Rhinolophus ferrumequinum: one gene and its partners. The protein of the gene in region 2 purifies or fractionates together with the protein of the main gene of each other region. This does not show direct contact. Links are inferred from orthologs where the notes say so. Each region holds a gene or a part of one and is shown on either strand. Other genes may lie near its edges.

The links.
Region 1: the proteins of RAB6B (region 2) and SLC12A4 purify together in Homo sapiens (co-immunoprecipitation; 3 studies listed by BioGRID and IntAct, with this or other methods). This does not show direct contact. The link is inferred for Rhinolophus ferrumequinum from reciprocal best matches to the Homo sapiens genes RAB6B and SLC12A4.
Region 3: the proteins of RAB6B (region 2) and SLC12A6 purify together in Homo sapiens (affinity purification with mass spectrometry; 4 studies listed by BioGRID and IntAct, with this or other methods). This does not show direct contact. The link is inferred for Rhinolophus ferrumequinum from reciprocal best matches to the Homo sapiens genes RAB6B and SLC12A6.

The regions. Positions count from the first base shown.
Region 1 is NC_046298.1:17,504,412-17,513,746, forward strand, and holds the start of SLC12A4 (solute carrier family 12 member 4), read right to left. Parts: upstream 3,973-9,335; 5' UTR 3,908-3,972; coding exon 3,793-3,907; intron 1-3,792. UniProt on the Homo sapiens protein: Mediates electroneutral potassium-chloride cotransport when activated by cell swelling. May contribute to cell volume homeostasis in single cells. May be involved in the regulation of basolateral Cl(-) exit in NaCl absorbing epithelia.
Region 2 is NC_046300.1:34,132,896-34,143,050, forward strand, and holds the start of RAB6B (ras-related protein Rab-6B), read right to left. Parts: upstream 3,824-10,155; 5' UTR 3,423-3,823; coding exon 3,353-3,422; intron 1-3,352. UniProt on the Homo sapiens protein: The small GTPases Rab are key regulators of intracellular membrane trafficking, from the formation of transport vesicles to their fusion with membranes. Rabs cycle between active GTP-bound and inactive GDP-bound states.
Region 3 is NC_046289.1:70,954,730-70,964,822, forward strand, and holds the start of SLC12A6 (solute carrier family 12 member 6), read right to left. Parts: upstream 3,954-10,093; 5' UTR 2,585-3,953; coding exon 2,314-2,584; intron 1-2,313. Other genes in the region: NOP10 (H/ACA ribonucleoprotein complex subunit 3), read right to left, coding at 7,280-7,420, 7,719-7,772; NUTM1 (NUT family member 1), read left to right, coding at 9,649-9,664.

The DNA of each region.
Region 1 (9,335 bases), on a different chromosome or scaffold from region 2:
GGAATGACTGTGGCAGCAGTGCTGGACTGCCTGGTGTCTGGTGATGGAGGTGGCAACAGAAGTATCATCATGGACCCAGACTAGTGGGGGTATGCACTGGCTTTGTAAGAGCTACCTGCCAACCTTCTCTGGTTAAATAGCCCAGAGGTTCATTTCTCTTGCTTGTAGGTAAGGATGCTGAATGATGCATTCGTCATCATCTGATACAGCCTCTTGCCATCAGTATGAGACTTCACTTGCCTTCTCTGGAGCCAAGAATCACTCAGTAGGTGCTGCACTGTGGATTCTTTATTACCCAAGGAGATTGACAGGTAAAGTGTGCTGATGACAATTTCTGGGGCAAAGTACGGTCTTCCTTCGTACAGCATGTGAAAGTGGTACATCGCCTCAACTAGGAACCTGGACTAGCGAAGTGAGCCAAGCAGCTCACTCCCATGAGCTAAACGACTGTGTGTAGGTCAATGCCAACAGCACAGTTGACAAGGGCAACAGGAGGTCAAGGCAGCCCACTGAGCCATGTTAAAGCCTTGTGGGGTCACATAGCTCCTCAGCCTGTGACATCTGTGACATCTGCTATGCCCTTGATGCTTGTTTGGGATCGGGATAAGGAGCCATAAGAAAAGTCTGAACACCCAGTAACACCACCCATTACAGTGACGGCCCTTCAGTGAGAAGCCCCTGAAAAGTACTCTTGGATTTTTATGACAAAAAAAGTGTCTCCCCTGAATAAATCAGATGCTTCATTTTGTCAGAAAATGGCAGCTATGGAGCTCGTGCTATTTCCCTTTCTGCCTTGGCTGTCAGGAATCTTCAAGTTAAATTTTTCCTTAGATGCAGTCACCATCTACCTCATCTCAGAGTCCTTGCCCCATTCCTTTGTATGGTTCTGGTCTTTCTGATTGTAACAATCCTTGGGGGAAGTACCAAGGGGTGGAACCTGCCAGGAGGTGTGGTGCATATCTCTTCAGATCTTTTTATGAAGTAAATTGGAAATAAATTATTCTAACCTCATGCATTGCAGTCTGCCCCACCATTGCTGCCATGTCTCTCTGAGGAGACTGCACTGGTATCCAGAAAATGCAGAGCTGGGCACAGAGCAGTTTTCCCAAACTGGCTATGGATGGTCCTCCAAGACTCAGTGGGTCCCTTGTCCCTTCAGCCATGACTCCAGAAGAGCTCAAAGCCCTTCCAAGCGTTGCCTCTAGTCCTGAGAGCAACCTTGCAGTAGATATCATTTCCCACCTTTTCGTAACAAGGAAAGGAAGGCTCAGAGAGATTCAGAGGCAAGGTTACCCAGTGAGAAGGGCCAAACCTGGGTCCCAGAATCCATTAGAGCCAGGTAGGAGCTTGTTCTCCCTACTCCTGTTCTAGGTCCCAGTCCATCCCAGGGTGCACCCTAGGCTGCAGTACAAGCCTTTAACTAGAGAAGAGTGTCTGGGGTTTGCAGTTTGGCCAGCGTGCACATACCCAAGGCTCTTGGTGCTGATGGTTGGCAGCCTGGCTTGGATTCCTGACCCTCCCTCTCTATGATCCAGGGCAACTTTCTTACCCTCTTTGTGCTGCCTTGATTTCCTCTTCTATGAAGTAGAGATAGTAATATAATACCTACTCTTCTAACTGCCCAGATGCATCAGAAAAGGGACAATCTGGTGCCAGACACCCAGTAGGTATAAGGTCAACTACCATGGGATTATGGGAATATGGGGCTCTAAGCAGTGTCTGGGTATACTGCCCTCAGCTATTCCAAAAATTCCAGTGCAGGTCTGGGCATGCCTGCCAGGCTGAAGCTGCTCAGATACCACCTGAAACCCCCGGTGAACCAGAGCATGGCCTGGGCCTGGGGCACTGCCTGTGAAATGCACATATATGTGTGTTCCTGGCTCCAGCTGCAGGTGGGTATCCAGGTGACATTCCTGCCTGATTCCTGTGCTCACAGGCATCTGCCAGGGGTACCCCTCTGGAACCTCTACACCCCTTGGAGCAGAGGTGTGGGCCTTGAGAGATTCAGGTACCAGGCTGGAGGTATCCCATGAGGTGGACCTGAGGTCACTGTTTTTGTACCCCAACCCTTCACAATTCCCACCAAGAAGGATCATAATCACTCACCAGGATGCAGAGTGTCCCCCATACCGCAGACACAACCAAGGTCTGGCTGAGAAGGAGTAAGAGGAGGAGCGGGGGGATAGTGGGAGGAGCTGGCCCAGGCTGGAGAGACCTGGCAAGACTCAGCCAGTATGACTCCAGGTCCCTCCAATCACCCTGTGAGAGGCCAAGGCGTGGCCAGAGGCTGGGCTCAGCTCTGCCTGCCCATTGGTCCAGGCTGCTCCGGATGCAGTCCAGCCCAGACTTTGGGAGAGAAAGCCTCCCAGGGCTAATGGGAGCAGGGATGTTGGCTCCTGCTCTGACCATTGGAACAAGGCTAGGAGCAGGTCAGGGCACCAGAGGTGAGGGCTGAGGAGCGTGCACGAACATGGCTGTCAAGCCTGTAAAATCTCCATGATGTCCAGTAGCCTATGCCACTGGCCTGTGCCAACTCCCCGCACAGCAGTCATGTGACACACATATAGGCATCACCCATCAGGTATGGATCACCTCAGTCATGTCACCATCACAGACAGATCAGAACTAGGTCAAGAGGGCATCACTTGACACATGCCACCAACACACATGTTCCCTGCGTATCTCCATCATGGTCAGACACAGACACAGGCATTTGTCATCAGTCATACTACCATCCTTATCACTGACACCCCTACAGGAAAGTGGCTATGAGAATGTGCTACTCTGACCCCACCTTCACCTTGTGATACCCTAGTTACACACTTGCACAGGCACAATTACACATGCATATGCCACTACACATACAGACGCATGTTTTCAGCAATGTTCACACTCCAAGAGTGGGCCCTGGCAAGGACTGCCACCTGGGAGCTTCCTGGGGTAGAAGATGGAGAAAGGGGTGTGGGAAGAAGCAGGCACCTGAGAGAAGGGAAGAGGAGCTTACTTCTAGGCCCAGTTCTAACACCTAGGCTAACAGTTAGGACACTGGAGTCTCCAATCCTGGGTTTGAATCCCCTGGGCAAATTATACAACAGCTTCCTATCTCAGTTCACTCCTTCCTAAGTGTGAGTAATAGGACCCATCTCTTGGGGGAAATTGGGAGGATTAAGCTAGTTAATTCACATAAAGCCTTTAGACAAGCCTGGTTCCGTGGTAGTGCTCCCCAGATGCCCATGGTACCTAAACAGATCTCAGCAGAGATCCACACAAGTGCACTCATAGACCCCCTCAGGCAGGCACACCCTTCTCTCCTGCCAGCCCGAGTGCAGGGAGGCACAAGGATGGGGGAGGGGAGGGGATTCTCAGGGGTAGAGGCGCAAATGGGTCGGCGAGACAAGAAGAGGCTGGAGGCGGTTCACAGAAGGTGGAGGGGCTGGGCATCTGGGATGCGGCTGTGCTCCCAGCCGGGAAGCGCCAGAGATGGGAGTTTGCTGCTATTCACGCGTCCGGCGGCCCCATTGGCTTGGCCTCCTTCGTCGGCCACGTCTGCAGCCCCCGCCCGTGGCCCGCAAGGGAGGAGCTGGGGCTGGGAGGGCGGCCCGACTGCGGGCGCCGGGGCCCGGAAAGATCGTGTCTGCGCACGCGGGGCGAAGGAGTGGTGGCGGCTGCTCAGGCTAAGAAAAGTTGGGCCCGCATCGACGTGTGCACGCACGGGCCAGGTGTCTGTGAGAGTGGACCCCGCGTGGCCGGCTCCCCTGTCCCCGCCAAGGCCCCCTCCGGGCGCGCCCTCACCGTCTGATTCTTCCCGCTCGGCGCGCTCCCCGTAGTCCACCCAACTGAGCCCCTCGAGGTTGTCATAGTCGCCGCGCCGCGGTCCGTCCACCGGCACCACGGTGAAGTGAGGCATCGCACGCACCGCTGCCCCAGCCACTGGCCCGGCTGTCTCCGCTGTCCCGGGCCGGCGCGCCCCGCCCGCCTGCATTCCTCCCCGCTGCGCTCACTTCCTCTGTTCGTCCCCCGGGCCGCCCCTCGGAGGCGGGGAGCAGGAGGGACTCGGGCCGGCTCCTCCCCGAGGGGGCTTCGGAGGAGTGAAGCCCCTCTGGAGGGAGTACCACTAGCGGCTCCAAACCCTGGGGAGGGCCAGATTCCTGTGTGACTTTGGGTGAGGGGCTACCCTCTGTGCCCCAGATGCGGTACTTGTATAATGAGGAAATGCGCTTCCACCTCTTGGGGCTGCCTGACGACTTCGTGAGGTTGGGCGTGGGGTGCACTGGCTCTGCGCTCTGTGCCTAGTAAATGCGACATTTGGGACGGAGAAGGGTCAGCAGGGCCCGGGCCAGGACCGCAGAGGCCCTCCCAGGGCCTCCCTCTATTCCTCGGTACCCTCTCGTTTCCATCTTCTGTGTCTCCCACCTCTCCCCTGCGTTCCTGGAAACCCAGTCCCAGTGAAGGTCCCTCCTTTCCCCTCACTGCAGTCTTTCCCTGGTGGAGGTGCTGTGGATTCCGGCCTCTCCCCAGAGGCTGTTGCCTCCTGGGTGGGAAGGACATACGATCCTCTCGCCCCGCCCCGTTGCCCCTTTGGTTACACTGGATTCTTTAACCAACTTCTTTCTTCTTAATTTTATCTTTTACTGTCTCACCTCCTGGGGTTCCTTTACCCAAACCGTTTAGTTGTTTGCTCTTAACATTTCTTTCACTTTCTACTTCAGTGCTTCAGATAATTTAGCCAGTTGGCTTTACTTTAACATCTAAATCTTTCTAGACTGTCTTTTCAGCGGTTTATCAGAAAACCCAAGAGCCCATTTACTTGTCTATCTCCATTTTTCTCCCTTTTGTGGCTCACAGGGCTTTAGAACATCAGAATCAGTGGTATTTTCCCAAACAACCCAGACAGTACCTTCTCCCAGCCTCCAGCTCTGCGGTGGAATCAGGAATCAGAGTCACTGGGCCTTGCAGGAGGACCTCTGAGCTGACCAGCATACTGGCCTCTACTCCAGTCATCCCAGCCAAGGCCTGTCCACTTGACCTCCTGTCCTTCACACCACCATTAGCTGCCCACAGTAGCAGCCTTCCAAATGTACTCCCTGCTCTCTCCCCCTGCTCATTGTAAGGCCACCTCTTTTGAAGAGAAAGCCCAATCTCTTCTTTTGGCGCACAAGGTCCTGCTCCATCTGGCACCTCCAACCTCTCCAGCTGCGCCTCTCCCCATCCCCCTCCCAGCCTCAACCCTTTTGGCCTCTTTCACTTCCTCAAACTCTGGGGAATTTCTGCAAATCACCTGCTGTTCACTCTGACAGAATGCCTTTTGATCTTCTACCCCCACCCTTACTTACCAGTCTCCTCTGTATGGAGAAAGTCTCAGCCTGGAGCACCACCTCCTCCCCAGAAGACTTCTCTGACACACACCCTGCCACCCCACCTTACCCTCCCCTGGATTGGGTTCTCCCGGGGCCCTTTCCCGGCATAGTACCCACTGCAGGGAGAAATGCGTTGATGAGATCTTTTACTAATGTTTTTTTTGTGCCCACTAGATTGTGGACTTTACAAGGACAAGACCCTTTTGGTCTTGTCACCTTGGCATCCTTAGTCTCTGGCCCCAGGATGCACAGCACGGTGCAGTACAAGCCTTTAAGTGGAGAAGTGTCTGGGCTTTGCAATTTGGCCAGACACATGTTCTCAGCAGTGTTCACACCCCTCCCATCCTGCCAACTCATGTGGCCGTTCTCCTCAGGGGTGGGGTCAGGTGCTGTGTGGGGGAGATAGGCCACTACAGTCCAACTGACAACCTTAGACGCTGAGGGACTCTGGCTAGGATACAATGTCCCCCATGCCATTCATTGACCAAGTAGTCGGCACCATCAGTGTACTCACAGGTGAAAATAACCTTATAGGCAAAAAGACATTTAGGAGCATAGACATTTCAAAAGAAAACATCTATCAGGAAAATTATTAGAACACATTAATCAAAAATTCAAAATTAGCCTAATAAACATATTACAAAAGATAAGGGAGAATATTAGCAATATGAAACAAGAAAATATAAAAAAAAATCAACAGAAACCTAAGGTATGAAAAATATGATTGCTTCAGTGATCTATTGCTAAATAACAAATTACCTCAAAACATAGTGGCTTAAAACGACAATCAACAAAAACATTTATTTGCTCACAAATCTGCAAGTTAAATAAAGCTTGTCTCTACTCCATATAGCATCAGTTGGGGCTGGAGCCCTTACTTCCAAGATGACTCACTCACATGACTAGCAAGTTGTTACTGGCTATAAGCAAAGAGCTCAGTGGAGATGTGGACCAGAGCACTGGGTCCTCTGCATGTGGACCTGTCCGTGGGCTGTGTGGCTTCCTCATGGTATAGTGGCTGTAGTCCGTAGGTAAACAGCCCAATAAGCAGGGAGTAGAAGCTCACAGTTTCTCTAGGCCTAGGCCTGGAAATGGGCACAGCAGCACTTCTGCTGTACTTGACTGGTCAAGCAGTTACAAAGCCCAGATTCAAGAGGGGGTGGGAAGGCATAGGACCCATCTCTGGATAGGAGAATTATGAAAGAAATATGGGACCAGGTATTAAAATGACTGTAATAATGTTTGAAACAAAGAACGTAATAGGTGATCTAATAGCAGAAAGTTATAATTGAGAATGAATTAGTAAGTTAGAAAGACCAAATTAAGGAATCCTTCCAAAAGAAGAAAGAAAAAAATAAATAAACAAATAAAAGCAACAGAAAAGAGATATAGAGGATAAAAATAGAAATTCTAATATCTGAACAACAGGAGTCCCAGAAAAAAGAGTAAAATAAAAATGGAGAAAAAGTACATGAATGATGAACCTTGAAAACATTATGCTAAATGTAAGAGGCCAGACACAAAAGGTTACATATTGTATGATACCATTTGTAAGAAATACCCAGAATACGTAAATCCACAGAGATAGAAAGCAGTGGTTAGGGGCAACGAAGGGATGGGGAGCAATTGCTTAATGGATATAGAGTTTCCTTTTAGGATGATTAATATGTTTTGGAACTAGATAAAGGTGGTGGTTGCACAACACTGTGAATGTACTAAATGCCATTGAATTTTAAAACAGTTAATTTTATGGTATATAAATTTCATTTCAATAAAAAGAAATTGCTAGAATTATAGGGAGAAACTGATAAATACACCGTAACAGTAGAAGATTTCAACACAACTGTCATGGTTACAAATAGGTCAAGAAAAAAAACAGAAGGATATAACAAATTTTAACACAATGAATGAACTTGACCTAATGGACATGTATGCAGTATATAGTTCTGTAGCCAGCAATTGGAAAATTACATATTTTTGTCAAGTATACCTGGAACACTTACAAAAATTGTTACTGGTTGTGAGGACTAATACCTCAACACAGCTTCTGCTTCCAGTCATAATGGCATAACGGCCCAAATTTACCTTTCTGTGTAAATTAAATAAAACTGTTGACCAACTGTATAAAACAATGATTTTCAGACATTAGACAATGTATGATACAGGGCTGTGATCCCAGATGAAAGAGAAATAAATGATGTGAGCCCTATGATTATACCAGCTTATTCCCTAGAGATATTTTCCAAGTCACAATGTGGGAGTAGAGGAGGGGTGGGGAACCCAGTGGTGTTGCTGAGTTGAGGAGAAAAAGAAAAATCATCATTTGGGAAGGCCAAAGCAGCTAGATTTTGCAGGGCAGAATACCATAGAGGAGAAAGCTACACAAAGAGAGACACTTGGAGATGTGTAGAGGGTCCCTGGGAATGAGCCAGAGGATTGATGTGTACACACATAAGAGAAAGCTATACAAGACCAGAAAAAGACCCACTGGAAAGAAGTAGGCTGAATAATTCTTGGAGCTCGTGTGGTTTGTGTTCCCGCCAGCTACAGTGAAAGCCCTTTTAATATATGGCACATTAGCTAGACTCCTCAGAAGGGCATTGCCTTAGTAGTCAGGCTAAATTAGCTCTAGATGAAATAACAGTTATCCTGACAAAGCATTGAAATCACCCTGTAGAGGTGGGATAGACCCACCCTTCCCAAAATTTGGTTCATACATCAAGACTAATAAGGCTACATGTACACCAAGAGGATATAGAAATGTTTATTACTCACATAAAGAGGCTTTCTGGGGAGAAGAGGATGACCTCCCAAGTCAGTCTGAAAATGGCTTCAGAGAGCTGGGAAAGGACACTGACTTAGAGCTTATGGATATTCAAATAAATAGCCAATAAGCACAGGAAAAGATGCTCAACATTATTAGTCATTAGATAAATGCAAGTCAAAACCACAGTGTAAGATTAGTGGGTGAGATACCATTTCACATCCTTTAGGTTAGCTATTATTAAAAAAAAAATAGAATATAAGTGCTGGGGAGGATGTGGAGAAATTGAAACCTTTGTACATTGCTGGGGTGGGGATGTAAAATGGTACAGCTGCTATTGAAAACAGTTTGGCGGTTTTGCAAAAAGCTAAACCTAGAATTACCATGTGATCCAGCAATTCTATCCTAGGCATAAACCCGAAGGAATTGAAAGCAGGGACTCAAACAGATACCCGTATGCCAATGTTCATTGCGTAGCCAACAGGTGGAAACAACCCAAGTCCCCATCAACAGGTGAATGGATAACCAATTGTGATCTATACGTACAAGGGAATATTATTCAGCCATAAAAAGGAATGAAGTCTGATATATGCTACAACATGGATGAATCTTGGAGACGTTACATTAAATGCAATAGCTAGATGCAGAAGGGCAAATGTTGCATAATTCCCCTTATATAAGTTAGCTAGAATAGATAAATTCACAGAATTTGAAAATAGAATACAGGTTACAGGAGGCTGAGGCAAGGGGAAATGGGGAGTTACTGCTTAATGATTACAGAGTTTGTGATTGGTGTAATGAAAAACTTTGGAAATGGTAGAGATGTTTGCACATTTGTAAATGAAATTAATGCCACTGATTTGTACACTTAAAAATGGTTAAAATCGCAATTTGTTATATAATCTTACCACAGTTTTTTAAAAATGTAATATATAATAACCATTGAACTGTATATACACTTTGAATGGGTGAATTGTATGGTATATGAATTATATCTCCATAAAGCTGTTTAAAAACAAACAAAACACCCATTATATAATTAACCAAATAATTATAATATTTAGAGGATGGTGGAAGGAGAAGGGAATAGCTAGAAAGTCTAAATTTTCAAATTTCTGAGTCAATAAATAATATCCAAAATTTATGACTAAAGAGCTGGCAGTTATATATATTATTTAGAAATACAGAGGAAAATGCCAGTAAATACTAACAGT
Region 2 (10,155 bases):
AGGAAGATCAGAAGAGGCCAGAGGACAGCAGATATGCCCACATCCCCTCTCCTCACTACACACACCGAGATGCCCTGAACCCCTCACAATGCCACTAGAATTTAGGAGGAAGATGTGTGTCCTGCAGGCCCAGTCTCCTTCCTTAGACACCTGCTAGTGCCTGTCTCCTTTGGATGCCACCAAGTGCCACAGTCAGAACAGGTGTGCCTCACCCCCTGCGTCCCCCACCACTGCCATGAGAACACGGGCACGACCAGCAGGCCCAGGGAGCCGTCTGAGCACTAGCAGGACTGCAGTCTTCCTACTGCAAGGAAATCTCTCATCCTGGGTCCCCACAATCCTATCCCTTGCCGGGCGGACACTGTCAGCAGCCTGCATTTCATGGTCCAGGGGGCAGCAGGCATTCTGCGCCAGGAGGGAGAGCTCTCTCAGGAGCTGCAGGTGTTCTCTCCAGGGCTTCTCACTCAAACCAGGACCTGGGCATTTTGAAGGCCTGATACTTCTCCTCATCATTGTGTTCCAGGCCAGGTACTCCTTTCTGGAATCCAGCTGTCCAGGCACAGGAAACAAGAGAGGGCCACATCCTTCCAGCCCCTTCCCCTGACCCCTTTCCATCAGGCTCAGCTCACGTAGGCAAGCCCAGATGCTCTAGAGGGCTCCATCAAACTCAGCTGGCCCAAGTCCACTCCGTACAGAAGGTGAGGGAGGGAGAGTCAGGGTGGGCGTGAGGGCCAGGTCTCAGGGGCTCCCTCCACTCCACACAGGCTGCACAGGATGCTGGCACAAAGGACCAACACATGCAAAACTGTGCAGGCAAGATGGAAGCAGTGGCTGCGGTGGCAATTCCCCTGTCCTACCAAACTCAGAGATGCACAAGTCCCTACCAAACTCAGGGACCCTGAAAGCTCTATAAAATCTAAGCTAAACAACCCACTGATGACACACCCAAGTGGGAGGAGGCTTTTCAAGGCCTAGGACTCCCTGTCAGGAGGGAACAGAGTGGTCGATAGCCAATCACATTGACGGCAGAGCCTTTCATCCCTAGTGACGAAGGATCAGCAAAACCTGCCCCAAAACACCGAGTCCAGCGTTCCCCCCAGGTCACTCAACTCAGCCCCAAGCCTGGCCAGAAAGTGGGAACCCTCACCCCCTCTCAGGAAGGGTCCCCAATTCTGGACTTCCTCATTCACATCTTATTTTCCAAGGACATGTGGGTCACTGGGAAGAGGAGATGTGGGTTTTGCAGCCCCAGAAGTGTTAACAACTCACAGTGGGCCTCCTGGCCAGGCCTCCCATCCCTGGGGCTCAGACTTCCCATCTAAACACGCCGGGGAGGTGGGGCCTCCATCTCTGAGGTCTAAGCTCTCATTTCTGTGATTTTAGAAGCAAAGGGGGTTTGCACGGCTCAGCAGGAGCCTCAGCCCGTCAGGGATTCTGAAGGAGCCCAGAGTTTTCACTCAAACTCACCAGACATCCTCCTCATCCAAGCCCTGGCCCTTTACTGAAGCACGTTCAGACTCAGAATAAACACGTTTGTTGAGAACCTACCAGGGTCCAGGCACCTTTGAGAGTCACTGGGGAAACACGAGGGGGTAAGAGAACTACCCACAAGTAACCATTTCACAGAGACATAAGCTGAAGCTCAGCAAAGCGTAGAAATCTACTCAAGGCAACACACTAGGAATTGAACTCCGAGGCTGCCTGAGCCCTGCGGAGTTCTCTCCCAGGGCTCCAGGCCCAGAGAGACCAGCACTGGGACGTACGTGAACACCCCTGAAATCCTGCGACACATGGGGAAGAGTGAGCTTTGAAACTGGAATCTGTTAAGATCACACTCAGAGTCCAGGACACAGGGCTGGCTGGCTGATTTGGTCTTGTTCTGAAATGCCCAGCTTCGCCCCAAGACCCATCACCATGTTAGGCCTGACCACCTTCTGATACCCTCCTCTGCTCTATCCATTCCAGAAGATGAGCAGCAGACAGGAGACGGCCATGTGAGCTCCACAACCCACATGTACACACACCACAGCAGCACCGTTCCCTGAGCCAACCCACTTCTCCCAAGGTTGCCTGTGTCTTGGCCCCTTGTACAGAAAGGCACCACACCCTCTGCACTGGACTGGTCTGCAGAGCTACAGCTGGGAGACCTGCCCCAAGGGAATGCCTTCTCCCTGAGCAGCTGTGGGCAAGGCCCACTTGTCTCCCTGCAGCCCCAGGGTGAGATGTCTCTGAAGGAATGCTCTGAGAAACATTCCTTCCTACAGGTGTCACAGGGGTCCATGCTCTTCAATCTGGTCTTCCCACCTTGGGACCAGCCTGGGTTTCAGATGTTTTCCCAGGGGAGGCTTCTAACGTCTGGGAAGCCGCTTCTCTCCCCCTCCCCCCGTCCCTGGCGGGCTGCCACGATGACCTCCCCTCCCCCAAGAAGGGCCTTGCGCTGGGAGGTGGGGATGGGAAGAACCGCTGCCCACGTGCTCTAGGGAGGGGTGCTGGGAAGCGAAGCAGGGCGTGTCACCTGGTCCTTTCTCTGTCCAGCGCCAGGCTTCACGGTGGCCTCTTGGTGCGAGGCGCTCCTGTACCATCCCCCAAATCTGCCTCAGTTGGGGAATCCTCGCTGTCATCATCCTGACCCCGAGCCCCAACGAGGCTAACACATGCCGGTGAAGGGCAGCGGGTCTAGAACCTTCTGTGCCCAGGGAAGTAGCCAGGGTATGTAACACCGGGAATAAGAGCCCTGTTCCCCCCACAGCCGGGATTCGCTCCTTCCAGAAGAGACAGGTGTCCGTCTTACCACCCCGCTCCCAACCGCGGCCGTCTGCCCCAGGGCCTGGACGTGCCAGCAATTACGCATGGTTGCAGGCAGGGTCCGCAGGGAACCTCTCCGGTGCATTGGGGTGGGGGGCGGCCTGACACCGGCCGCACCTTGTTCTCCAAAGAGGGGCGTCTGTCCTCCCCTCGACACCCGCCAGCGCCCCGCCACCTGCGCGGTCGCCCGCAGCCGGTGCCGCAGTGCGAGTGAGCCAGCGAGCCCGGCGCCTTCACGCCTCGGCCTGCGCCGCCGAGCGAGCCGCCGCCCTCCAACCTCCCCGACCCGCCGCACCTGCCTCCGCACCCCAGATCCCCCCGCATCCCCACCTCTGGCCCCAGAGCCTTCTCGGTCCTTACCCTTGGCCTCTCCCCTCCCCTCCCCGGCCCCGCTCGAGCCGGCCCCGACCTCCACATGCCCATCCCTCCTCTCTACCCCGGCACGGAGGGACCTTTCTGAGCCAGGGCCGGGGGCCCCCAGGGGGTGGATGATTTGGCGAAGGGGGTCGACTCGGCGCCAAGCCATGAGAATAAGCGAGGTACTTACCGCTCTGCTCCCCCAGAAACACCAACTTGAATTTTCTCAGTGGGTTCCCAAAATCTCCCCCTGCGGACATGGTGCTGGCAGCCGGGATCGGGAAAGGAGGAGGAGAAGCGAAGGAGCAGGGAGGGAGGAGGAGGGCAAGGGGAGGCGGCCGGCGGTGCGGGAGCCGGAGGGGGAAGGGCTGGCTGCGCGCGTCCCTGCCTCCCTAGCTGCGTCCCGGCCCCGGCCTGCGGCTGCGTGTCCGGCGGCGGCGGAGGAGGAGGAGGAAAGGAGGAGGAGGAAGAAGGCTGGGCTGGGCTGGGCTGGGCTGCCGCGGGCGGCGCTAGCTGCGGAGCGAGGAGCGCGCTGTGGATGCCCGAGCGCGGCGCGGACAGAGCGGTGCGGGCGGAGCGGGGCGCAGGGACAGCGCGCGGGGCGAAGGAGCGCTCTCCGGTGTCGCGCCGCTCGCCCCCCTCCCGCCTCCCTCCTCCGCCGGCGCCTGCGCTCTGCGCGCTCCCCAGCCTCTGATGTCATGCGGGGCCCACGGCGCTGCGGGGCTGAGGGGCGTCCGTCCGCCCACCCGGAGGCCGCACCCGGACGGGAGAGAGCCGCCTCGCCATGCCTGGATCAGGCCCTGAATCGGGCCGTCTCTCGTTGCCCCTCTACGTCTGTCTTCCCCACTCTACCCCCTCCTTTGAATCCAGAAAAATGGCATTAAACTATCAGGGGACATTTGCTTCTGGTCTTTAAACCTAAATGCCACTTCTTTCCTCCCCCTCGCGCGACACTGATGCACAGCGCAGCCATCCGAGAGGAGGAAAGGAGAGGAGGTGTGTGCGTGTGAGGGAGGGAGGCACGGGGGGTGTGAGCCAGGGTGTCAGGGTGTGGTGGACCGTGCGCGCGCGCGTGTGTGTGTGTGTGTGCGCGCGCGTGTGTGTGCGCGCGCGCGCGCGCAGAGGGCTCCACCGTCACCCCGAGTGGTCTCTGTCCCCACCCCCCCGGCCCCCAGGCCCAGATCGCTTCTCTGGGCGCCTCTGTGGGGCCATAGGCGTTACAGCAGACCTGGCCCGCAAGAGAGGAGGCACCAGTAATGGGCGCACCTACCTAATACCAACCGCTCCTACGGATCATTTTATCCTAAATTTGCTGCCCCGTGGGAGAGAAGGAGCAATGAAGCCCCAAAGTCAGCGTGGCCATCTCCAGGACAATGCCCTGGATTCCTTGACCCTGGGGCCACAGGATGGACAACACCACTCCTTGCCCTAACAATTAGTGTATCTGGACCATGAGCTCCAGGAGGACAGGACAGTGACTTCTCATTGTCTCCAATTCACCTGCCCCATTTAGGTGCACAGAATAGTCCTGAACAGGGAAGAACAAGGAGCAGCGTTAGAAGCACTCTTAGACTCATCCTGTGGCATTCTGATTAATTTAACCGAGGGTTTACAAAGCTGCCTATTACTGTCCTGCCACCATGTGGTCTCTTGTTTTGTTTTGTTTTGTTTGTTTTGTTTTAAGAGCTGTTCATCTTCACTGCGGTATAGTGTTCCATTGTGTGACTATATCAGTCTATCCATCTATCGTAGAGGGACGTTTCAGTAGTTTCCAGTGTTTGGTTATTACAGATATTAGTGTTATGAAAATTCTTATACATGTTTTTTGGGTGAATATATGTGCCAAATATATATGTATATTTCTTCATGATTGCTAAATCATGAAGTATGTATATTTTCAGATTTAGCAGATATTTTCACCTTTCCAAAGTAGTTGTACCAAGCACCAGTGGTATATGATAGTTCCAATGTTTCTCATCCTTGTCCGCACTTAATACTGTCAGTCTTTTAATTTTAGATAATCTGGTGGTTTTGTAGTGATTTCTCATAGTAGTTTTAATTTGTAGTTTTTGAGGCCTAGGGTGGTGTTATCTTTCTCCACGGAGGATTTGCATTTGGCCATGCCAGGCACTAGGAAATCCTAGCAAACTGGTATTTCCTTAATCCAGTTTCAGAGACTGAGCTGATTGGAAGCTGGACTGAAATCTTTGTGAGAGCAGGTCTACTTGCAGCCCAAACTTATTACTATGCTGCAGATTTTTGAGTTCTCATCCCAACCTGAGGCATTCTCCTTTGATGAGTCCTAGTCTCTTCATTTTTCACTCCATTCCTTTGAGATGGACTAAAACACTGGTTAGGCTCTCAGCTGACTTGTCCAGAATTAGCAAATGCTCCCAGGGCAGAAGCTGTACCTTTCTGGATTCCCATTTTCTCCAAGATCTAGGCCTACTACTTTGTTCTTTTTCCAATATCTTCAAGTATCTTTTTAAATAACTGACTAGTTTTTCCTGAGGTCCTGATTGAATTACCCATTCTTCTATCAGAAGAGGCACAGGGTTTATTTTTATTGCCTCTTGTTCCTTCTTCATTTCATCAACCTTCTCTCATATCTTTGAATATATTTGTTAGATTTATATTTATTTTACTCTTGATCTGTCTGTGGTATGCATTGTGTTCAGCTGGTTGTATATATTTTTATAGTGGTTTTACTCTTTAGGTCTCTACTGATTTTGCCTTGTAAGCTTGTTTTCCTGTGGTTATCAGCTGCCCAGTCTGATAATGGGCAAGGGCTATGATGAACATCTGTTTTTGTCCCTCCTGGTGATTATGAAGGAGAGTGGGGATGAGCCCCTGGATGGAGAGCCTCACGTACTCCAGAATTGCTACTCAACATCCCTCTGCTTTCATTTCACAGAGGAGTTTCTCTAGTCCAGGATTTCTCTTCAAATTCTTTGGAGAAAAAACAAAACGGCACTAAAAGAAGACCAGATCTTTAGAACGGTCAGTCACCATTCATGAGGAGATCAGCCATTGTCCTTGAAATGGCCATCCGTCATCCATGAGGGTTTGGAGGAGAAGGAGGTAGAAGAGTAAATGCTGGGACTCTCTTTAGCTGGCATTAGTTTTTATCAGAATCTCGTCTCAGCATGGCTCTGATATTACTCTGAGAAGCCAAGCCAACACTGCTGATTTTTGTTTCCTTCAGTGACAGAGGCCACCAGTCATCTTCCCTGGGAAATATGGGAGAGAGGAATGAACAGAACTTAAAATCTCTCCACAACCCTTTTTTCCCACCTCTATACCTGCCACCCTCACTTCAGACTGCTCCAAACTTTTACCCCAGCTTTAGTCCCCTCAGGGGTTACAGTTTTTATATTAGTTCCTCCATCTCGTTTCTGGAATTTCTCTATCATTGGGTTTTTTTGGAGGTAACCAGAAGACAGGGCTAATTCACTCACTTGTCAGGCACTGCTATAATCTCTCTCTGTCTCCTCTTTTCCCTCCTTATCAGTATTATTGCCTTCTTCCTTCTTCTTCCTTTTTTTCCCCTGTTTTTTAACTCTAAGTTTGTTTATAGTTTCCTTATCTCTACTTTGCAAATTACTATGCAAGAGACTCTTTAAACGTTATTTTTATTTCCATACTCTTTCCTCTTCATTTGTTTTGACTTGTATTTTTCATAAATGGCCTTGATTCAATCATTCTAACTGTGAACCACTCACCTGAGTGGGAGACTGAGCTTCTGTCCCTCAAGCTCTTACTGAGGTCCATTGAAGTGGAGCTTTTGGCCTGTTTAACCTACAATAATAGGGGTTGGGAAATGTAAATGTTAAACTAGTGTGTGTGCAAATCGGCAGGTCACATTCAGGGCTGGCTGGATGGCTTGAGAGCTAAGCGGTGAGTGAATTGATGGAGGGTTGGGCCCATAATAAAAACATCAGGCCAATGATGGAAGAAGTCAAAAGGAGTTCAAATATGGGCCAAATTTCTGCCTTGTGATCTGAGGCTGTAATCTTTGCTGATGGATCTTCAATAAAGAGGGAATTGGTTACTGTAAGAAGATTAGAAGTTTCAGTAACTGGGGAGATCGTTAACAGAGGGCTGTATGTTTAATAGGATACCATAAGACCAATAATAGTCTCTGTAGCAAGAATTTTCATATGAGGGACAGACAATTAGGGTGTGAGCTCACAGACCTCCTACTGTGCTCATGGAAGGCTGTGGTGTTCTCCCGATAGTTGGGAAATGGAATGAGATTAGAAGAGAATGTGAGGAGGAGACCACTCCTTTATCCTATGGAAGGACTGGGTTTCAGAGTTATCACTGATTGGGTAAATTGATAAACTGGTTGGATGACTAGATGAATAGAAAGGATAAAGCATCCATGGGAAATTGAATGTAATGGAAATAGAATGGATTTGTGAATGGGTGGCTTTGTGGGTGAGTAGATGGGCAGATGAATGTCTGGGTAAGTAGATCTATCTATGTATGTGTCTAGATATGGGTGGATGGATGGATGTTGGTAAATAAATGTAGATGAATGGAAGGATGATGGGTGGATTGATAGATGGAATAGGTGGAATGTCTGGATAGATGAATGGCTACATATGTATGTATATAAGTTTACATCATGTGTGTAAATGGAATAATGAAGAAGTAAGTAGATGTTTGATGGATGGATGGGTGTAACGGATAGATACAGAGCTACCTAGGTGTGATGGATAATGAGCAAGTGTATAAGTGAATGAGGGTAAAGGATATGGATAGATGACAACAGGGTGAACTTAGAAATTAGCATCCTGACTTTGCACATTAGCTGTGTGACATTGGATAAAAATCTTTTAATTTCTCTAAACCTTGGGAAAATTTTAAAGATTCAAGAAAAAATAAGTCACAAGTTAGAGTGAAAAATTTAAGGGGAAATATTATTGAAAATAAGCACTTAAAGAAATAAATATCATGAGCTGGGAGGGGTAAAGGTCTTATTTGAAGTTAAATTTCTGTAAATCAAAACAAAGATTTCAGGAGTGGAGAAGCTGTGGTAAGATTTGGAAACATCTGAAATAATATAAAACATTTTACAAGTTACAGTTATAAACTAAAACAAATACTATTTATGTAAGAACATTAATATAATATATGAAGCTGTGGGGGAGGGTAAAGGAAGGTTCTGGATTTAATGTCCTCATCTTTCATATCAGGGACTCAAATGATAATGCCTCAATTGACGTACAGGAGGTAATAAAAACGATTATTCTAATCTCAGTGTTTTTTCTTTCAAAATCTTTTTGTAATTATAGAAGGATCTTTAAAAAAATACTCTCTTAAGGTGAAAAAACATTTATTTGAAATTGCATAATTTTTTCAGATTTCTTCGGAATTCTTTTTCAAGTTTTAAATACAAATGCAATTAAATGCAATAACATTACAAATAGCATATATAAAACAATCACATATTTATCAAAATATTTCAATATATCTATTTAGTCTTTCTGGAACACATGCATGAAAAGATGTCTAGAATGATATCCTCTTAATATAGAGGCTAATTATTTATGAGCAATGGCATTTGAATTTTTTTAACCTCTATGAGTGCTTGAATAATTTATAATAAGTATGCATTCTTTTTATAAAACTCATACTGGTTTTCCTTCATATAAAAGAGAAAAATTTTCAAATTAATTCTCTGCTTAGTCTAATCTTGTCATCATTACTTTAAGTAGTTTATTTGCAAGAGTGCTGTCTAACCTTCCCCAGTTTAACTCTAGGCTTACTGTTAATTCTCTTTGGAATGTAACCCTTAACCTTGAGGCCATAAAAACTGCAATGCTTGTTTTATTCTGCATGTTTGCTTGAGAAAAAGTGTAATTATTAAGATGCTTGTTATAAAATTATGAATGTTCATCTAGAGTCGCAAACTTTGATTTATGGTAGGAAATTTAATTTGCTCACAACGCTTTGACAAGTAATCCTTGACTATGTCCTGTGTGACCTTGTTATAATTAATCTGAGAGCATATAAACTAAGCAGAGTCTCTGGAGAATGACATTTAATAGTAAGCTTTCTTCCTTAAAAAATGTAAATGCAAGAATTTGTAGCATATTCATTTTAAAGTAAAACATAGAATCTCTTTCATGACAATTACAGAGTCAGAGGGTGTAGTTGCCCAGCCTCCCCAGCTCGGAGCTTTATCTGGTGGGATGCTGGGAGCACAGCAAATTCCCCTGCCAGCTCAAAGCTAAGAGGGGGCTGATTTTTTTTTTTTAATTTTATTGGGGAATATTGGGGAACAGTGTGTTTCTCCAGGGCCCATCAGCTCCAAGTCGTCGTCCTTTAATCCAGTTGTGGAGGGCGCAGCTCAGCTCCAGGCCCTTGCAATCGCACAGAAAGCTGGGTGAAGGAGTGTGATTTTTAAATGCTAGGATGTGTGTAAGCATATTAAATGTAGTTTCAAAATTCATGACTATAGGACTGGACTTTATAAAAAACCAAAAACTTTGTTCTTCAAATAGGTAGCTTGTGAATATAAAATGAAACTATGTATTAATGATTAAGCTTCCGGTTAACAAGTACTGTGCTGTGACAGGAGAGAACAAACATAGGCGGATTTTGGAGGGTAAAAGCTATGAATTATAACACTTGAAGTCCCAGATGAATTTCACACAGTAAATATTAAAATGTTGTTATGATTTATGCTGAATGTGAAAACTGATAATCCTATTTTTTCTCACGTAATTTGTTTTCTCCCCCATCAGCCAGTGCAAACTGAGAAAGTGGGGGATAAGAGTAAGTTTTGTCTTTATTTTATAAAGTTAAGAAAAATAGACTTTTGGTTGGAAGCCATCTCTGTCAAAAATAAGTTACAGGGCAGGTGGCACCAGCTTTGCAACATAGTAATATTGGCCCTCATTTAAAAATTATAAATATAAAGGTAAATTGGTAAAAGTTTTACAGCTGGAAATGCTTTCCATTTGAGGGTCCTTCCATACAACG
Region 3 (10,093 bases), on a different chromosome or scaffold from region 2:
GATTGATAATCATACCAATATTACAATCACAGAAAAATGTAGAAAGGCCCCCCAAAAAACAGTCACAGAATTCTAAATATTAAAATAGCAAACACAATTCTGAAATACACTATGAGCTTAAGGATAGAGTCAACTGTAGAAAAGGAATTAGCTGTTTTCCTCTACTAACTCCAGTCCAGAAACAAATGTAGATTAAGATATGTCCTTGATTTTCTTTTGAAGATCTATGTGTAATGAGGGCATCCGCATATTATGAGGCTGAAGATGAAATAATTATTTTTCTAACCAGTTCCCTCTAATGGTGGAGAAAATATTTCACAGGATACCAGTCATCATAAGAAATTTTTTTTAAAAGAAAAAGTAGTTCATTGGGAAAGTAGGAAACTAGTTTCCTGAGAGTATGGGGGGGAAATGTGATGTAATGGCTGGATAGTTAACTTCCCTTTCATCTAGTACCAGAGAGTATTTAAACATTAAGGAATGTGTTAGAGAGCCAAGCTTTCTGTATCCACCTAAACAGCATATATTTCACCTAGATATGTCCCCTGTTTTATTTTACCCCTATAGTATTAAACGATAGCATTCTGGACTGTAAAGAATGCTTACAGGTAAGATAGTGGCCTGGGCAAGGATCCTGTTCTGCACGGCTACCACATTATGGAAATAAGCCCACTTTTAAAAACAGAATACAAATACAATTCCATAACATATAAGTCACAAGCCTCACAATACTTAACTATAAATTACCTAATGACAATTACAGCAGTAAAAAAAATTAACACAGTCTTTACCTGGTATTTTTACAACCTAAATACAGTATAATAAATAAAAACTAAAACTGCAATTTACAATTTGGAGGAAAAAAGTGATAAATTATTTTCATTCCATAACGTAATTTTAACACTGTGGTACACAGTGTAAAGTTTGTCAAATTGAAAATAGTTAATTCCTTGGGTACTAGTCTAGTCAGGGGACCACTTCTTAAATTATATAAATGTCTAACCACTATACTGTACACCTTAAATTAATATACAATATCGAATGTCAAAATAAATAAATTGTAAAAAAAAATTAAAACCAAAAAAAAAAGTTGGTTAAGTCCAGGAACCAATCTATAATACCTCCATTAAAAAATGTTTAGTCGAGGATAAGTGAATTCTAGAGGACTATAAACTTTACCAAATCTACTTTATCTCCAGACATTAAAAAATACAAACAGAAACAAGGAACTAAAATCATTCTGGTTTCCTGCGCCCTTTAAGTTAGGAGGAACAGTATTTCCTGACACCGGAAAATCGCTTTCACAAGTCAGTGGCTGAAGCTATGGTTCTCAAATTTGGGTAGAATATCATTTTTAGGAGTCTTTAAGATTCTTATGAGAATTTTCATTAGCAGACATACATCTACATTAGCTAGAAAACAGAGCCAAATATAAAGACTGCAAAACTAAACATATAAAGCAGTACAGCATTTCTCAAACTTTTCTACTTTAGAGTCCAAAAAATGTTATGATCTCTCCACTTTATTCATCTCTCTCTTCCATCTCCTCTTCCTAGTAAATCCAATGAAAACTTCCAAGCCAGCTGACACAAACTGGTTCAGGAAATTAAAGTCTGCAGTGGTCCATCTAAGTCAGAAGTGACTTGTGTGTTACTTTCTGACTACAAAGGCTCAATACTCAATACATACCATTTATAGTTCAAAGTAAAAATATCATGTAGGAAACAGGCCCTAAAAGCCTCTTTAGAATTTCTCCATTCAACAGGACAGCACACTAGATCTACCCAGACTCACCCAGAATGAACTTAGCTGCATGAACCATTCTTCGTAAAATACAAATTTTTAAAAAGAATTTTGTGATACAGTATCTGAAGTCTTTGTAGAAAAGCCAGTAACTAAGATATGATCAATAACTACTTGTAAGTGGCCTTCAAAGCTGACTGTACTAATTAGAGCCCCAAAGCTAGCTCTGCACTAAATTTTACAATTTAGGATTCTGTGCCAAAAAACTATTAAATTATTTGCCGTTCATCCTTAACGAAAACACTCATTTGAGTTCTAAGGAGACAAAAATGATCAAGTAAAATTAGACATCTACTTTTCTTCTTGCCACATACCTTCCCACATGCCAAATGACTATTGCAGAGAGCCACTATGCTAATCATTCTTCCAAAGGATTCCTAAGGATCTCAAAAAGAGGTACATTGGTTCCTGATGATTATTGTATAATAGAAAAATGATCTCCCAGAAGACAGTCATCCTCCATAAATAAGCCAGCAATAAAAGTATCCTGTCATCTGTGTTTCTACTTACCCTCTGTAACATCCTGGGGGTTAGAAGTCCTGTCACTGGCTGGATCCAGTGCAACAGTGGCCAGTGAAGTGGTGGCTCCAGACATCTCACTCATTGGCTCACTACGGCTTGTTTCAGGCACACTTTCCCGGGAGCTAAACCTTACCCGGGAACTGGATCGGGAGCTGAGGTCCGGGCTGGTGTCTGACATCCCTGGAATATCATCGATCTTTGTTGGTGTCACCATGAACCGAACAGAAGCCATCTTGGTGGTGGTTTCTGGAGGATGCATTTTTCTTTTCCTTTATAAGGGCAAAGAAAAACCCCGCAAAATCTTTCCTCCTACGCTAGCTGCTTTTGATCGCAAAAATAGAAAACTTAAAAAAAACTTAATTATCTTGATTTACACCACACAAACAGCCCCAAATAAGAATCCTTATATTCAGAATTCAAGCAGTGTCCTAGAGAGTGCACTACCAGTAGCTGAAAAATATTTAAGAAAAAACAAAACAAAACGGTGCCTATCTCCTGTAACTTCGTTCCTTCAGAATGAAGAGCTTTCTAGCTATCTCTCCTGATCCAGGGCCGCGGGCTCAGTGCCATGGTCTTACGAGTTCGCCTTTCTCCTCTCGACCCCCCGGTTTCGGCCGAGGTAGTTAGTCCTTTATCTAGTAAATGTCCCACGGTTCTAGTTGAGCAAAGTGCGCGCGGGCCCACCCTTATCATGCAAATATAGCGCAGATCAGATTGCGAAACGGTGTACACCCGGCCACCTGTTGTATATCAGGTGAATACCTCACAGGTCTGGCTGGGAGGTGTGTGTACAGCCACCCGAGGTTTTTGAGGCCGATAATCCACTTTGATCTTGTGGGAGAGGTGCGCATGCATAACGAGAAAAATATCCCACACTAATGTACGGAGAATGAGGACAGAAGGGTGAGCAGAGGAGGATACAGGGGCAGAGCAGATTCCTGTCTCCGAGAGGTCTACGGGGGTGGCCCGCCCGCCTGGTTTTCTGGCAGAAAGGTCCCTGGGATCTGGGAGGAGGCGGCTAGCGGATCGCGACAACTCGGACTGCAGTTCAGGGTCGTGGCAGGTCGTTGCTACTCCACTGAAGCCACGATCCGCTTTCTGGGTTTCTCCTGCGTTTGACAGGACCGGTCAACCCTTTGACCGGAGACGCTTTCTCCCCTACCAGGTCGCTGGTACTGGTTAGCCCCTCGAGGTTCTTCCTTCGGGTCCTAGCAGAAGAGGAGACGGCCTCGCGGGCTGGCCCTGGCTGATTAGGAGTGGGCGGCGCGGCTGAGGGACGGACTTCGCAGGTGCGGGATCCCGGCGCCAGCTGATGCGGGGTGCGCGCGCAGCTGTTGTTTACAAGCTGGTAACTGTTTCCGAGCCGCAGCAAGCGCAGGCGGGCTCTGGCTGCCGGGGAGGGCGCCCCTTCCCTGGCCAGACGCCAGAGTAGCCGTTACGTGACCTCGCCGTTCCCGGCCCCGGGCCCGGCGGGCTTTGCCCGCGCCGCCGCAGCCCCTCCCTTCCCTCCCGGCTTGTTCCTCATTCGAGGTTAACGGTCCGAAGAGAAGCGGTGTAGCGATCGGAGGGCGGCACCGTCCCGTGAGCGCCGGGAGCCCCGCCCAGCCTCTGCCGCCCGCTATCGGACGGAGAGGGATGCACGCATGCGCTCGCCTGAGTCGCAGCGGGACTGGGGGGCGAGGGGCGGGGCCTAACGTGGGAGGACCGGAGCACGATGGGAATTGTAGTTGGGTATAGAAGACTGAGCTATTAATACGTACACTAGAAAAAACAAATCCTTTTCCTTCTTGGTTCAGCCCTCTCGCACCAACTCTGGAGGCATCTCAGGGAGCAGGCAATGCCCCTTGCCTCAGAACCTCAAAAACCCTCTCTTCTTTAATAAAAGCATCTCCGAAAATACCATTCATAATTTCTTTAAAAATCACAAACCTCCCAATACCATATATCTAGGTATGACACTTATTGGAATTTTTATGTAGAGGTCTCTTCTAAAGCATTGTATCCTCAAGTTTATGCATTTTGCCCCCTTTTCCAGTCCTTAAAAAAATGCTGTCTTTCACAATGTATATTATATATCTATTAAATCACGTTGTACACCTTAAATATGTACCATTTTGTCAACTGTATCTCAATAAAGCTGGGGGGAAAAATCCTATGTTCACTTTCTACTCAGACTGAAAATTCCGTTAACGAAAATATCTTTAATTTTAGACCTAGAGAAAATACTTTCTCTTGACTCCATTCCCAGTGTTTTCCGTACTACTGCCACCAGAGTATTTTTCTTACCATGTTCATTTAATGCACAAATAGACATGTTCAATGAATTTTGGCTCCTCAGTGTTTCGTTTGAAAGTTATTTCCTATAGCTTTGATCATGACATTTAAATTTAACAATCTGGGCCCTGGCTTTGCCTGTGTCCTTCCTCTACACCAATGGAAATGTTTTAAGCATCATCCTTAGTAATAAAATCAGAACTGTGTTTAAGACCTGAACCAGGAAATTCCCTTTTATCAAATGACACACAAAGTCCACACTCTGGTTAAAAAGATCCACATAACAAAATGAGAAATAATCTCCACTTAAAATGTAAACCCCCTCAAAACTAGGTGCTTTATAATGCTTGTGCCTATTAATTCAGGCTCAGTTTGTTGTTGTTGTTTTTCTTACAGTGTAAGTTTACGGTAATTGCGTGGAGATATTAATTTCAGGAGAAAATAAGTTTCCATCCTAAAGAACTCAGACCCTCGCCCAATAAGGCTCCGTTTCCTACCTTGAGGCAGCAAGAAAGTCACCTCCCTGAGGGATGTTTTTTTCCTCAGGCAGGCCTGTTCATTCAAATCTCAAAGACTTTCCCCTTACAAAGAAATGCTGGCTTTCTACAACCAATTTTGCTTCATACACAGAGTGTTTTCATTAACTTATATATACTACCTAATACCTAATAGTATAACTCTTAAGACTCCCATTTCTGAGCACGTCTCAAATGTTAATACCTAGGGTACCAAGGAAAAATCCTTGGTATATTCAAACCAGTTTGCCTTTCTTTTCAAATTCAATTCAGAATATTTCCATGTTAGTCTTCTCATTTCAGTCTACACAGAATGTAGCATGGAACAAAGCTAATCTTTCTTTGGGGAGGAGGAGTAAATTATAAGGACAGAATTACTGTCAACATTAAAAAATACTGGTAGCAGATTTGATTAATTGATTTTGGTGCTTAAGAAACTTCCAGAGCAGATCCTTTTTCTTTTTCTTCTGAATTTTTATGAGTTTGACTCAAAACTGACAACAATGCCAGGAAACATCTGCTCAGCAGCTGCTTTTTCTAGCCATTTGCAGAATTTTTAATATTTCTTCAATCATTATCCCCTTAATGGGGCAAGAAAAGTCTTTAAAATCCCTCAGATCCAATGCTAAGAACCTGTAAGTGACTAGGCTAAGAAATAAAAAATTATTGACAGGAAACAAATATTTTGTTTCACCATTCCCATATGTTTAAGTAAATAATTGACTTGAAAATCATGTCTTCTATTAACTGTGACCCAAGTTTAGATATTTTTTCTTTTTTTCTCAGCAGTCAACAACTATCCTGAACTTCTCTGCTGGGATGGTCAGACATCAGATTCCAAGAGAAACATATCTATCCCTTTGCAGGGCCAGTCTGGATAAATCAAATTTGTGCTGAGATAAGTTACATCTGCTTCTGGAGTCTAGAATCTTGATGCAGTAGAAAAAGAAGATTGTAAAATTAGAACACAATCTCCACAAAGCAATTCTTAAATCTGTGGCATTAAGCAAACATTCAAATCCAATGTCAAAAGCCATGAATGAGATGATTGGGGACATGAGCGGATTAACTTGACAAGGTGAGGTAAAAGCAAGCTAGCATTTCTTGAATGCCAGCCAGTATACAATATTTTGCCTCATCATCCCTCTAATATAAAGCAATTGAATTAAAAATTTATGGTTGCCCTTTGACAGAAGCTCAAATCCTTAAAAATCTCCCAGGTTTCTTTTGTTATTAACCACCAACGATAGCTTGAAAAACAAAATCTCCACTTCAATCTCTCATACCTCATCTTTTAAATTCAGATCCACGTAGAGTTCCACATAGCAGCTAGCTCCCAGAGAGAATATAAAGTTAGGTGTATGTAAGACAATTCCTTGATGGAGAGAATTAAAAGACTGCGACTATTTCCAGAGGAGCAGTAAATATGCACAGAGGCATTCATATTCATAATGGTGGAACAACACTGTGGATATATATCCGCCACTGAACCCAATCTGTTATAGAGTTGGAAGAGAACTTAGAAATGAAGAAAAAATTGGGACTAAATAGGTTAAGTGACTTTCTTAAAGTTATGCAGAGAGGAGCGCATCTTGGTCTCCTGACTTCCAATTCACTGCTTTCCCTCTACAATATGGTTGCTATTATTTTCAAGCAACTCTTCCATTTTAAGTCAAAATGTCACTTCAAGGGGAATGATAACAGGGGTATTTTTCTGTAAATGCTGACAATTATGTAAATCTTTCTCAACCTTTCTTTCCCTTCCCCAACACCCTCCTGTCACTAATACAGCACTACTCCTGCTACAGCAACGACTTAGGATTTTCTTCCAAGTATTGTTGTGCCCCTGGGTACACTTCCCTCCCATCTCTCTTCGTTTTTTGTTTTTTTAAACCACGTCCTTCTTCCCACAACATACAAAATAAGAGCTCTTTCAAATCATTTTAATAACCAGACAGTATGTCAAAACAGGAAAAGAAGATTCAAACTTGTTCCCTTTAAGGTGTATGCTACCATGATTGCCTCGCACAAACATGATCAAAGGTAATGTTGACACCAGATTCCAAAAAGAAAGGGTGGTAACAAGGCATCAAGGCTCACAGATTGCAGCGCTTGGGTTCGGAAAGTCTCAGAGGGGTAGCAGGCGGCATGAAATTAAGGGACCCTCAGAGGACAGGGCGCGGTTGCTGGGTCATCAGCACCTTGAAACGTTTCTTGATGGTGATTCGGTGTCGAGAGTATTTGTCGTCTGGGGAGAACCGAGCAGGATGGGCCGAGCAGGTCTGTTGTCCCGTGGGGTCAAACTTCTGCTCCAGGAAGAGAGAACATAATCTCAGTACAGGTGTGGTGAGAAAACTCAATCACTGGCGTCATAAAGGAGATGGAGGCTGGGATGGGGAGGGGGACGCGCGGAAAATGATCATAAGGAAGACAGAAGACGCGACGGTCAAAGTAGCACTCATACACTCCAGCTACTACCTTACCACGCCTGGCTTCTGGGCTTTCCAACTCCCCCCACTCAGCTAGGCAACTCCGCGGCTGGTCTCAACCGCTCCACCCACCTCCACTTTTCGCCATGCCTATTTACATGTTTCCTTTTCTTACCTTCAGGGTATAGACCCGCTCTCCCTGTTCATTGAGGTAATACTGGAGAAACATGACCACGATGAAGACAGAAGCTCGAATTCCGTCAGCAGCTCAGTCTAACAGTCTCTCGTGTTTGCCAACTTCCTTCCTGTGTAGCCGGAAGTGTCTCTCTCAAGGTATGCTGGGAAATGTAGTTCATTTTAGGCTTTTTTCCAGCTGGGCAGAAGGGGGCGCACTAGTGCAGGACTTGGCCCAGTTGCAATCCAGTTGCAACCTTGTAGACTTTGGTGCCCAGTTGCAACTTTGTAGGCCTTCTAAAACACATGGAGGGTGCCCACTGTGTGCCAGACACTGCTAGGCGTTAGAGGGGGATAGGGATGGATATGAGTTGAACATTAGTGAATAGAATCCTGTCTTTATCGCAAGATGCACACCCATATCAGGGGCAGTGGATTTATAGTGCGTTGAGAAACAAAGAGCTCCAGGATTCAGAGCCCCTTTACCTTATGGAAGAGGGAAGGTTTTTCTTCCCTCCCCTCTTTTTCTATCCGGTTCTCCGGCCCTATTTCAAAATATTGGCGGTAAAGAGTGCATGATGGGTATTTAATATTCTGCACAGCAAAGAGAGCGTGAAGTTGTTTTATGAAACTGGTGAAGTATGTTTTAGTGATCGAACCAAGATTCAAACTCAGGTCTCTCTACCACAAACTCAGCGCTTATAGTGGTGAGTAGCTAATAATAGCATAATAAGATGTACCTTCTAGGGGTTATTTCGAATGTTTTAAAGAACGTGTAGAAATTCTCCTTATAGGACTCTAGTTTAAAGAAATGAAAACTGGAGCCCAGGTAATATTACAAAGATGACCTTTGCAGTATTATTTATAATGTCAAAAACATTGGAATATACATTAATGTTATAACCAGGAAACCTGAAAAAAAAATTTTTTTAAAGAAACGTAAAACGTAATGATAATACGTGTTTACTTGCAGTGCATAAAATATCTCTGCAAGGATTCACAGGAACATAATATTGGTTTCTTTGGGAACAAAGAACTTGGTTCCAGGGGAAAAGAGTGGGAGAGGGAGACTCGCTGTACACTGTTTTGTATAGTTTTACTTTAGACCCATGCTAATGTAGTTCCCACTTTAAAAATTAAAATTATTTAATAAAATTTTTAAACAAAAATAATTTAACAAACAAAAGGACTTTTTGGCCTTGAAATTTTAGGTTGAATGCCTGTCTTTGATAGAATGGGGCTTTTCAACCAAGGGTTAAGGCTAAACCTTCTGTGGACTGCAGAGCTGATGGTGGACTATTTGGGAACTGCAGGACAGCTTTCCAAGGAAATGATATGCATACAGCAACCAAACACCCTGGGTCTTCCCAGACAATCCTAATTTCAAGCACTCCGTTCTCCAGATCCTTAAGTACACAGACTGTGTGTTCTGAATTTGGTTCAGAAAATACAGCGAACATTGAATTAAATCAAGGGTCTGCCACAACCTTCTATTAATAGGAAGTCAGTTACAGAACTGGGTGGGATTTAAGGGCACAAAACTAAATATACTGGTGAAGAATTGTGTAGGGAACGGAGATGTACTAATAAAACTATAATGTTGGGAATCTGAAAATTTACAAATTGCCCTAAAGAGGTAGACAACAATTGTGTTGCCAAACTCTGGTTTGGTGGGAATTCCTGGTTACTGCCAATTTACCAGAGCCTGCTGTCGAATATCTCCCTACCCCAGCCCCACATTCCCCTATCCCCTCCCCCACTGCAGACTTCCTTGAGTTCTAGATTCCAGTTCTGTTTTGATCTGATCTTTATCCTCTCCTCCTTGGATCCCTGTGTATCTACTGGAGCCAGGTTACTCTCTGGGTCCTCAACCTGACTGTCTCATTCTGGAGGCTTCCAGACAGCCACAGCTAGTGTCCAAACCTGAGAGGATGACTTCAGATGGAGGTAAGTCTGCAGGTGATGCAGAGGGTACCCCACCCCCTGCCACATCCTTGGGGATTCAAATTTGACACTTTACCTGGGGACAATAGGGGTCTTTGTACTGACCTAGAGGGACATGAGAATATAGATGCTACCAAAAAAACAATCACACTTGGAGAGGCTGGGAAATAAGTTTGTGCCATGAAGACTGGGGGTTGGGAAAAAAAAGACTGGGGGTTGGGGAAGTAAGAGGGCCCTCTGGGATGCAGATCTAAGTACCTCAGAGGAAAGTGCTGAGTATAGAGAAGGGATGGCAGTTAGCAACTTGCTTCTCTGGAAGAGGGACCCCGTTCAACATGTGTTTGTGTGGCAGGGGCAGTGGTATGTGTGGCACAGAGAGGGTTCAAGTGGAAGTCCCAGGATTCTGGGTCTTCTTTTGGTAATTGGAGCTTG